Notamacropus eugenii: one gene and its partner. The protein of the gene in region 2 purifies or fractionates together with the protein of the main gene of each other region. This does not show direct contact. Links are inferred from orthologs where the notes say so. Each region holds a gene or a part of one and is shown on either strand. Other genes may lie near its edges.

Region 1 (3,745 bases), about 280 Mb from region 2:
CAAATCTAAAAGGATGGCACTGGATCCTATTTCATCAATCTTAATATTATATTAATTAATGTAATTATATCAATTAATATTATAACTCACATTTACATTGCATTTTAAGTTTTGCAAAACTCTTTCTAACAATCATGTAGTGCATGTAGTAAGAAGCGTCATTCATATTTTATAATTTCAAAAAAGTGATTTGTCCAATATCAAACAACTAATCAGGATGAGTCATATTAAAACTCAAATCTCCAGGCTCTTCACTCTGATGTTCCTTCACTATAACATGCTGTCTTTTGTGTGTGTGTGTGTTCGTCCTTCATTGCCAAAGAAGACCATGCCATCAGAGAAATAATGATATGACTTGCACTTGGCTTTGTTTTGAGTGAGGGAGGGCTGTGCAGGTCACCAGCCTCACTTCTCCTCCAGAGCCATCTGAATCCAGTGACCAGATATTCATCAGGATGACTGGAGATGAGCCAGGATGAGGCAACTGGGGTTAAGTGACTTGCCCAAGGTCATACAGCTAGTGAGTGTCAAGTGTCTGAGGTGAGATTTTAACTCAGGTCCTTCTGACTACTGCACTGGTGTTCTATCCACTGCCCCTTGTCTTTTGTATATCCCTAAGCATAACAGGTACTTGCATAGGGCAGCAAGGTGGTTCGTGGACAGAGTGTCAGGCCTGAAGACATCTTCCCAAGATGAAAAGTGGCTTCAGACACTTACTAGCTGTGTGACCTTGGGCAAGTCACTTAACCTTGTTTGCCTCAGTTTCCTTATCTGTCAAATGAGCTGGAGAAGGGTATAGTAATCCAGTATCTCTGCCAAGAAAACCCCCAAATGGCATCACAAAGAACAGGGCTTGACTGAAAAAGGATCAAATAACAACAACATAGGTATTTGACATGAGCTCTCTCCAGATTTCACCTGTGCACAGGCCTTGAACAGTATCTCATGGATACCCCTTCCACCATTCCAACCACAAACCTTCCCTTAGGTCTTCATGGGCTGCTAGAGTCAGAAGATTTCATCCTGTGCTAACCAAATGTAGGATAATGAATCTCTCTGAACTTACCTAGGCTGGGCCTTAGATGCTGTCACTTGATATGAAGAGCTTTACTGTTCATGAAAGAGAGTCAAGAGTTTATTGGACTGTGATTTCAAGGGGTCAACAATATGACAACATGGCAGCCAAAGAAAGCAGTGTGATCTTGGGCTGCCCAAGTGAGAAGTACTAGTGTCCAGGATAAAAGAAGTGATAGTTTTGTTGGGTCTGTCCTGGTCAGACTCCATCCACTATACTGTGGTCAGTTCCAGGCACCACATTTTAAGAGGAAGAATGACAAACATTCAGGGAGGCCAATGACATATGACGACTACTTGCCAGAACTGTGGTTACCTCCGCAAACGGAAGGTCAAAAGGGGCCATGAGAGTTATCTTCCAGTATTCGAAGAGCTCTCCTGTGGAAGAGGCTCTGGAGGGCTGAACTTTAACAACAACAGGAGGAAAATAGAAAAAAAAAAGTAGATTTATACTCAATATGAGAAAAAAAATCCTAACAGTTAGGGGTATCCAAGACTCATCTTGGGAAATAAGGGTTTTTCTCTCATTGGTTTTCAAGGAGAGGTTAGATGACCTTCTCTGAGATTTGGCTAAAAGTTGTATTCAATGAGCTCCGACACCACACCTAACTCTTGATATTCCAATCTTTAATGGCTGATAAAACCCACCAGGGCTTTGGCTGGCACAAATTTGAGAAAATCGGGGTCACCTCTCTCACCAAAGTAAGGTCCCTGAAATGGGGCTTAGAAAAGAATCCTTGACCATGGCAGGCACTTATTATACAGGGTATCTGCTGAACTCGGTTGAAGCCGTAAGAAAAAGGTTCCTTCTTTCATATTTTGGGGATTTTTTTTTCAAGTAAAGGTTTAAACAAGTCAGACGAGAATTTAGATCTTCTCATCCTGCTTTAGTAACCTCTAACTTTAGTCCACCTATAAACACCTTCCACGCAAGATCTTTAAAATAATTCCGACACATATCCTCGTCAACCACGTAACGAGCCGGGTCAAAGATTAGCAGCCGGCCCTCCTTTCTAGATAAGGGAGGCAGAGGGGAAATGTAACTGGTCCAGGGGTCAGACAGCGTGTCAGGGCTCTTTCCTGCCCAGTGTCTTTAGCCAGGGCAAAGCTGTGGCTCCCAATCCAGTTGGCTAAGTCCAGACGGGGCGATGGTGGGCATGGCCACGCCCCTACCCCAGAGGATCCGGGCTCCCGGGGGTGGAACTTATTCCATTGCAACATGTGCCCCGAGGAGCTAGTCCCTGCCACCCCCCGCTAGTGCTACCACGGATGCATCCCCCGTCTCCAGCCCTACCACCTCGGGCGGAGCCGGGAACCAAGGCTGGGGGTCCTCTGGAGGAACAGGGGGCGGGTCGCACCTCCCCCCTCACCTGCTCATCCTCTTGCATGGAAGCTGCCAGCGGCAGCCCATCCGCCACCCGGGCGATCATCGTCAGCAACACCATTTTTTCGGCTTAAAAGGGCGCCCACACCGCCCCCCTGACAACAGCAGTCGCCGTAGTCTCCCTTCGTTCTCCTCCTGGCGACCGGTCCGCTCAGGACTTGGCTCTGTCTGCGTCTCCTCTTCCCCGAGCTGAGGTGGCCGGAAACAGAAGCGCGTGAGGTTCGCCTACCTCCGGTCCCTCCCCACCCTGGTCCGGTCAGAAACAACCAGTTCCGGCGCGCACGTTCCTACCCTGCTCTGCTTCCCGCTTTAGCTGAGCCTGACGGGCCCCGCCCACCTCCCCCTCGCCCCGCCTGCTGGCCTTGTGGGAGGGGCTAGAGCCTAAGAGTGCATTCACTCGCCCCGCCCCCTAAGAGGGGGGAGGAGAGAAGGAGAGGGGAGAGGGGAAAGAGAAAGAGAAGGTTTAGAACCAGGTTTCTTTGTTTGAATGAGATCAATGAAGGACCTGGAATGACAAGAATCATAGACTCTCTGACCTGGAAGGGACCTTGGGGATCATCATCTTGTCCAGCCTCCAATGCAGTGACCCTGACAGATCCCTGAACAGCTCTAGTGACGAGGAGCCCACTCATCACCATGCAAGAAAGCCCTTCCCTTGGCTTTTGAGGGGGAGTTCCTGCATGACCATACAAGAAAACCCTGCCATTGACTTTTTTGACAACTCAAGTTGTTAGAAAGTTCTTCCTTATTTTGAACTGTATCCTTGCAACTTTCTCAGCCTGGTTCTACTTTTACTCTTCATAGAACCATGGTAATTTATCTCTCTTTCTTATTTCAAAGCAGTTATCCTATCTTCTTATTTCCAAAATAAACATCCCTGGTTCTTTTGACACATCCTTATTCTCTTAAGTCACCCTCTTGCTCCAGTTTGATGCATGTGTATGTCTCTGTGAGTGTGATATAGGTTATATATGTCCACATGAGTCAGTCTAGCTGTAATTTGAAGGTAGACATAAATCTCTAGTCTCTTCCTCTCACCTTTCTCCCAGGAACATTTTGATTTCTGCCAAGGCGAGGACAGGAGATTAGAGTTTTGAGGCTGGCCACTCCCTTCTCTTCAGATTATATCAGTTTAACACCTTACATACTGTTAGTCTGGTGGAAATAACCTTTAGGCTCAAGTTGAACTCCTGATCAATATTATTGAGATAGAAGTGTCCCAAGCTATATATCTTAATCTTGATTCCCTTCCCCACCTAATGCAAATTATACAAAGACCACCCATGG
Region 2 (3,745 bases):
TGAGGCCCAGAGAGGGTAAGGGACTTGCCCGGGTCACACAGATGGCCCCTCTGAACACAGGGGCTCTCACTCCAAGTTCAAGGCGTCTGTGCTGTACATGCCAAAGGGAGAATGGGAGGAGAAATCTGAGGAAAGAAGAGATAAAGATAAGGAAGTGAACACAGAAATAAGAAAGCAAAAGCAAAGGAAGAAATGCAGAGGGGAGAGAGGAGTGCTGGGGGTAAGAATCAAAGAGAGAACAACAGAGAAAAGGAAGGAAGGAAAAGGAAGAGAAAAGTAAATGGGGAGAAGGGAAAGAAGGAGGAAGGAGAGGATGGGGAGGGGGAGAAGGGAAAGGAAGGAGGAAGGAGAGGATGGGGAGGGGGAGAAGGGAAAGGAAGGAGGAAGGAGAGGATGGGGAGGGGGAGAAGGGAAAGGAAGGAGGAAGGAGAGGATGGGGAGGGGGAGAAGGGAAAGGATGGAGGAAGGAGAGAATGGGGAGGGGGAGAAGGGAAAGGAAGGAGGGAGAGAATGGGGAGGGGGAGAAGGGAAAGGAAGGAGGAGGGAGAGAATGGGGAGGGGGAGAAAGGAAATGAGCATTTATTACATGCCAATTATGTGGCTGACACTGCTAAAAGCTCTTCTGAGATGTCTCATTTGAGAGGGAACCAGGGCTCCTATTATCTTTATTTTACAGAGGAGGAAACTGAAGTCACTGGGCCAGAGTCACCCAGTTAAGGAGTGTCTAAAATCACATTTTAACTGCAAGTTCCCTTCCACCTCCAGGTCCAGTTCCTATATACTTGTCACCTTGGAGGGCAAAAGGGGAAGAAGGGAAAGACAAGGGAGAAGGAATGGGGGGCTCCAGAGAGAAAAGTAAAAAGGGGGAAAGAAGGGAGGACAAAAAGGAACTGAGAGGAAAAGAGAATGGAACGAGGGGGAGAGAAGTAAGAGAGGGAATGGGGGAGGGGTTAGGAGAGAAGAGCAAGAAGGAAGAAATGAGAAAAGGGATGAAGCGAGGTGGGAAAGGAAGGGGGAGAGAAAAGAGAAAGAATGAGGGAGGGCTGAAGGAGAAAAGGAGGGGGAAAGCGATGGGGAGAATGGGGGAGGAGGGGAGAGCGGTGGGGGGAATGGGGGAGGAGGGGAGAGCGATGGGGGGGAATGGGGGAGGAGGGGAGAGCGATGGGGGGGAATGGGGGAGGAGGGGAGAGCGATGGGGGGGAATGGGGGAGGAGGGGAGAGCGATGGGGGGGAATGGGGGAGGAGGGGAGAGCGGTGGGGGGGAATGGGGGAGGAGGGGAGAGCGATGGGGGGGAATGGGGGAGGAGGGGAGAGCGATGGGGGGGAATGGGGGAGGAGGGGGAGAGCGATGGGGGGAATGGGGGAGGAGGGGAGAGCGATGGGGGGGAATGGGGGAGGAGGGGAGAGCGGTGGGGGGGAATGGGGGAGGAGGGGAGAGCGGTGGGGGGGAATGGGGGAGGAGGGGAGAGCGGTGGGGGGGAATGGGGGAGGAGGGGAGAGCGATGGGGGGGAATGGGGGAGGAGGGGAGAGCGGTGGGGGGAATGGGGGAGGAGGGGAGAGCGGTGGGGGGAATGGGGGAGGAGGGGAGAGCGGTGGGGGGAATGGGGGAGGAGGGGAGAGCGGTGGGGGGAATGGGGGAGGAGGGGAGAGCGGTGGGGGGGAATGGGGGAGGAGGGGAGAGCGATGGGGGGGAATGGGGGAGGAGGGGAGAGCGGTGGGGGGGAATGGGGGAGGAGGGGAGAGCGATGGGGGGAATGGGGGAGGAGGGGAGAGCGATGGGGGGGAATGGGGGAGGAGGGGAGAGCGGTGGGGGGGAATGGGGGAGGAGGGGAGAGCGGTGGGGGGGAATGGGGGAGGAGGGGAGAGCGGTGGGGGGAATGGGGGAGGAGGGGAGAGCGGTGGGGGGAATGGGGGAGGAGGGGGAGGGGCAGAGATTAAGGAAAATGGGGAGGAGTAAGGGAGGGGGAGAGATGGGGGCAATGAAGGAAGAGGGCGAAGAGACCAGAGGGGCAGGAGGAGAAAGGGGGCGGGAGGAAGGATGGGGGAAGGGCTGAAAGAGAGCCGGAGGAAGGCTCAGGGGGTGGAGAGGGAAGAGGGGTCTCCGTTCTGGGGCTCCCAGGAGACAGGATGCTGGTCAGGGGTACCCTCCAAAATGTTTATCTGACATCGGAAGTCCCGCCCCAGACTAAACCCCGCCCCCTCCGCGGCTTTGGGCAACGATTGGCTGCTGCCGCTATCCTTCACGGAAGGCGGCGCTCTGATTGGGTAGGGGAGGCATCGCTCACCAGCGGCTGGACCGGCAGAAGTCCCCGGTCTCCCCGGTCGGTCGTCGTCCCCCCCATCCCCGCCCCACCGAGAGCCGGCCGCCCTCGGCCCCAGCGTCTTCCCCAGGCTCGTCCGGGTCGTCTCCTACCTCCGCGTCGCTGCCTGCTGCCGCCACCTCCGCCACCCGGGCCGGTACTGTTTCTTCCCCGGGGACGAGCCAGAGAAACGGGACCAGAGACCAGAGGTTGACACGTCACCTAGGCGTGGCCCCGCCCCAAAATGACGGCAGCGCGCCGACACGCCCCCCTCCGGCGGCGGAGGCCACGCCCCCGCATCAACAGTGACGGTCACGCCCACTCGCCCGGGAGACTCCTTGGCGACGCCCCTCCCCCGACAGCGACCCAGGCTCCCAGCATGCCACGCCCACCAGCCGGCTTAATCCCCTCCCCCAAGTCCCGCCTCCTCCCTCCTCCATGGAAACCTACGGCGCCACGCCCCTTGGGTTACGCCACAGCCTCCCGAAGAACCTTAAAGGGCTCGCCGCGCAGATTCGCGGCTCCTCCCCTTTCAGCTTAGGGGAAACTGAGGCCCCGCGCCCTCTCCCCCAGGCAGACCCGAGGCAGGCTCCACCTCCCGACTCCAGGTCACTACTTTTATTCTCTTCTCCGGGGGGCGGGGCGGGGCGGGGCGGGGCTCCGCCGGCGTCATCGGGGCTCCGGGTCTCGGCCCAGATCGGGCGACGTGAGCTCCTCGAACTGCTGCGGCTCGGGGGCCTCCGGGGTCCGCCCGGCGGAGCCCGACTTCGCTCCGGACGCGGTCCTCACCGCGGGCTGCTGCTGGCGCGTGGAGCCCCGCCGGCTGAACATGGACAGCCTCCGCCAGAGCACCGTGATGATCAGGCTGTCGTTGGACTTGTGGGACCCCTCGTAGCGGCTGGCCGGTCCTGCGGGGCGGGGAGGGAGCCGCGCTGCCCGTCTGCACCTCGGGGCGTTCCGGGCCTCGGCCAGCCCCCCCAGCCCGGGGCAGCCGCCCCCCCACGCCCTACCTTCCATTTCTTCCCCGGGGCACACGTCATCGTGACTCCTGCTCTTGGACCTGGCACAGCCCATGTCCCCTCCGCCGACCTGGAGGCCGGGCAGCCATCGCTCTGGCCGGAGGCCCGAGCTTTTGTGACATCAGAGCCCTCCCCACCCCCGCCCCCCAAGCGGGCTGCCGCCGCAGGGTCCCGGGCCGGGCTCTCGCAAGGAGGAGGCAGGGTCACAGAAGGGGGTGACTTCTTTATTTACAAAGGGGGGGCAGAGGTGGGGGGCCCCCCAACGCCGGTTGCTGCTTCTTCCCCACAGGCTGCCGTTTCCTCTTGGCCCCTGCGGTCACGGGCTCCAACGAATCCCACAACTCATCAGTCTCGGTTTCTTCGGAGGGGACTGGGACAGGATCTCTGGGCTCATCCTGGTGAGCGAAAGGGAAGGTCTATGGGGA

The links.
Region 1: the proteins of STX5 (region 2) and SEC22B purify together in Homo sapiens (co-immunoprecipitation; 4 studies listed by BioGRID and IntAct, counting the BioPlex papers as one, with this or other methods). This does not show direct contact. The link is inferred for Notamacropus eugenii from reciprocal best matches to the Homo sapiens genes STX5 and SEC22B.

What each region holds. Positions count from the first base shown.
Region 1 is NC_092873.1:300,261,964-300,265,708, forward strand, and holds the start of SEC22B (vesicle-trafficking protein SEC22b), read right to left. Parts: upstream 2,813-3,745; 5' UTR 2,520-2,812; coding exon 2,445-2,519; intron 1-2,444. UniProt on the Homo sapiens protein: SNARE involved in targeting and fusion of ER-derived transport vesicles with the Golgi complex as well as Golgi-derived retrograde transport vesicles with the ER.
Region 2 is NC_092873.1:15,894,424-15,898,168, forward strand, and holds the start of STX5 (syntaxin-5), read right to left. Parts: upstream 2,606-3,745; 5' UTR 2,415-2,605; exon of another isoform or gene 2,287-2,414; intron 126-2,286; exon of another isoform or gene 29-125; intron 1-28. Other genes in the region: TEX54 (testis-expressed protein 54), read right to left, coding at 2,971-3,209, 3,312-3,375. UniProt on the Homo sapiens protein: Mediates endoplasmic reticulum to Golgi transport.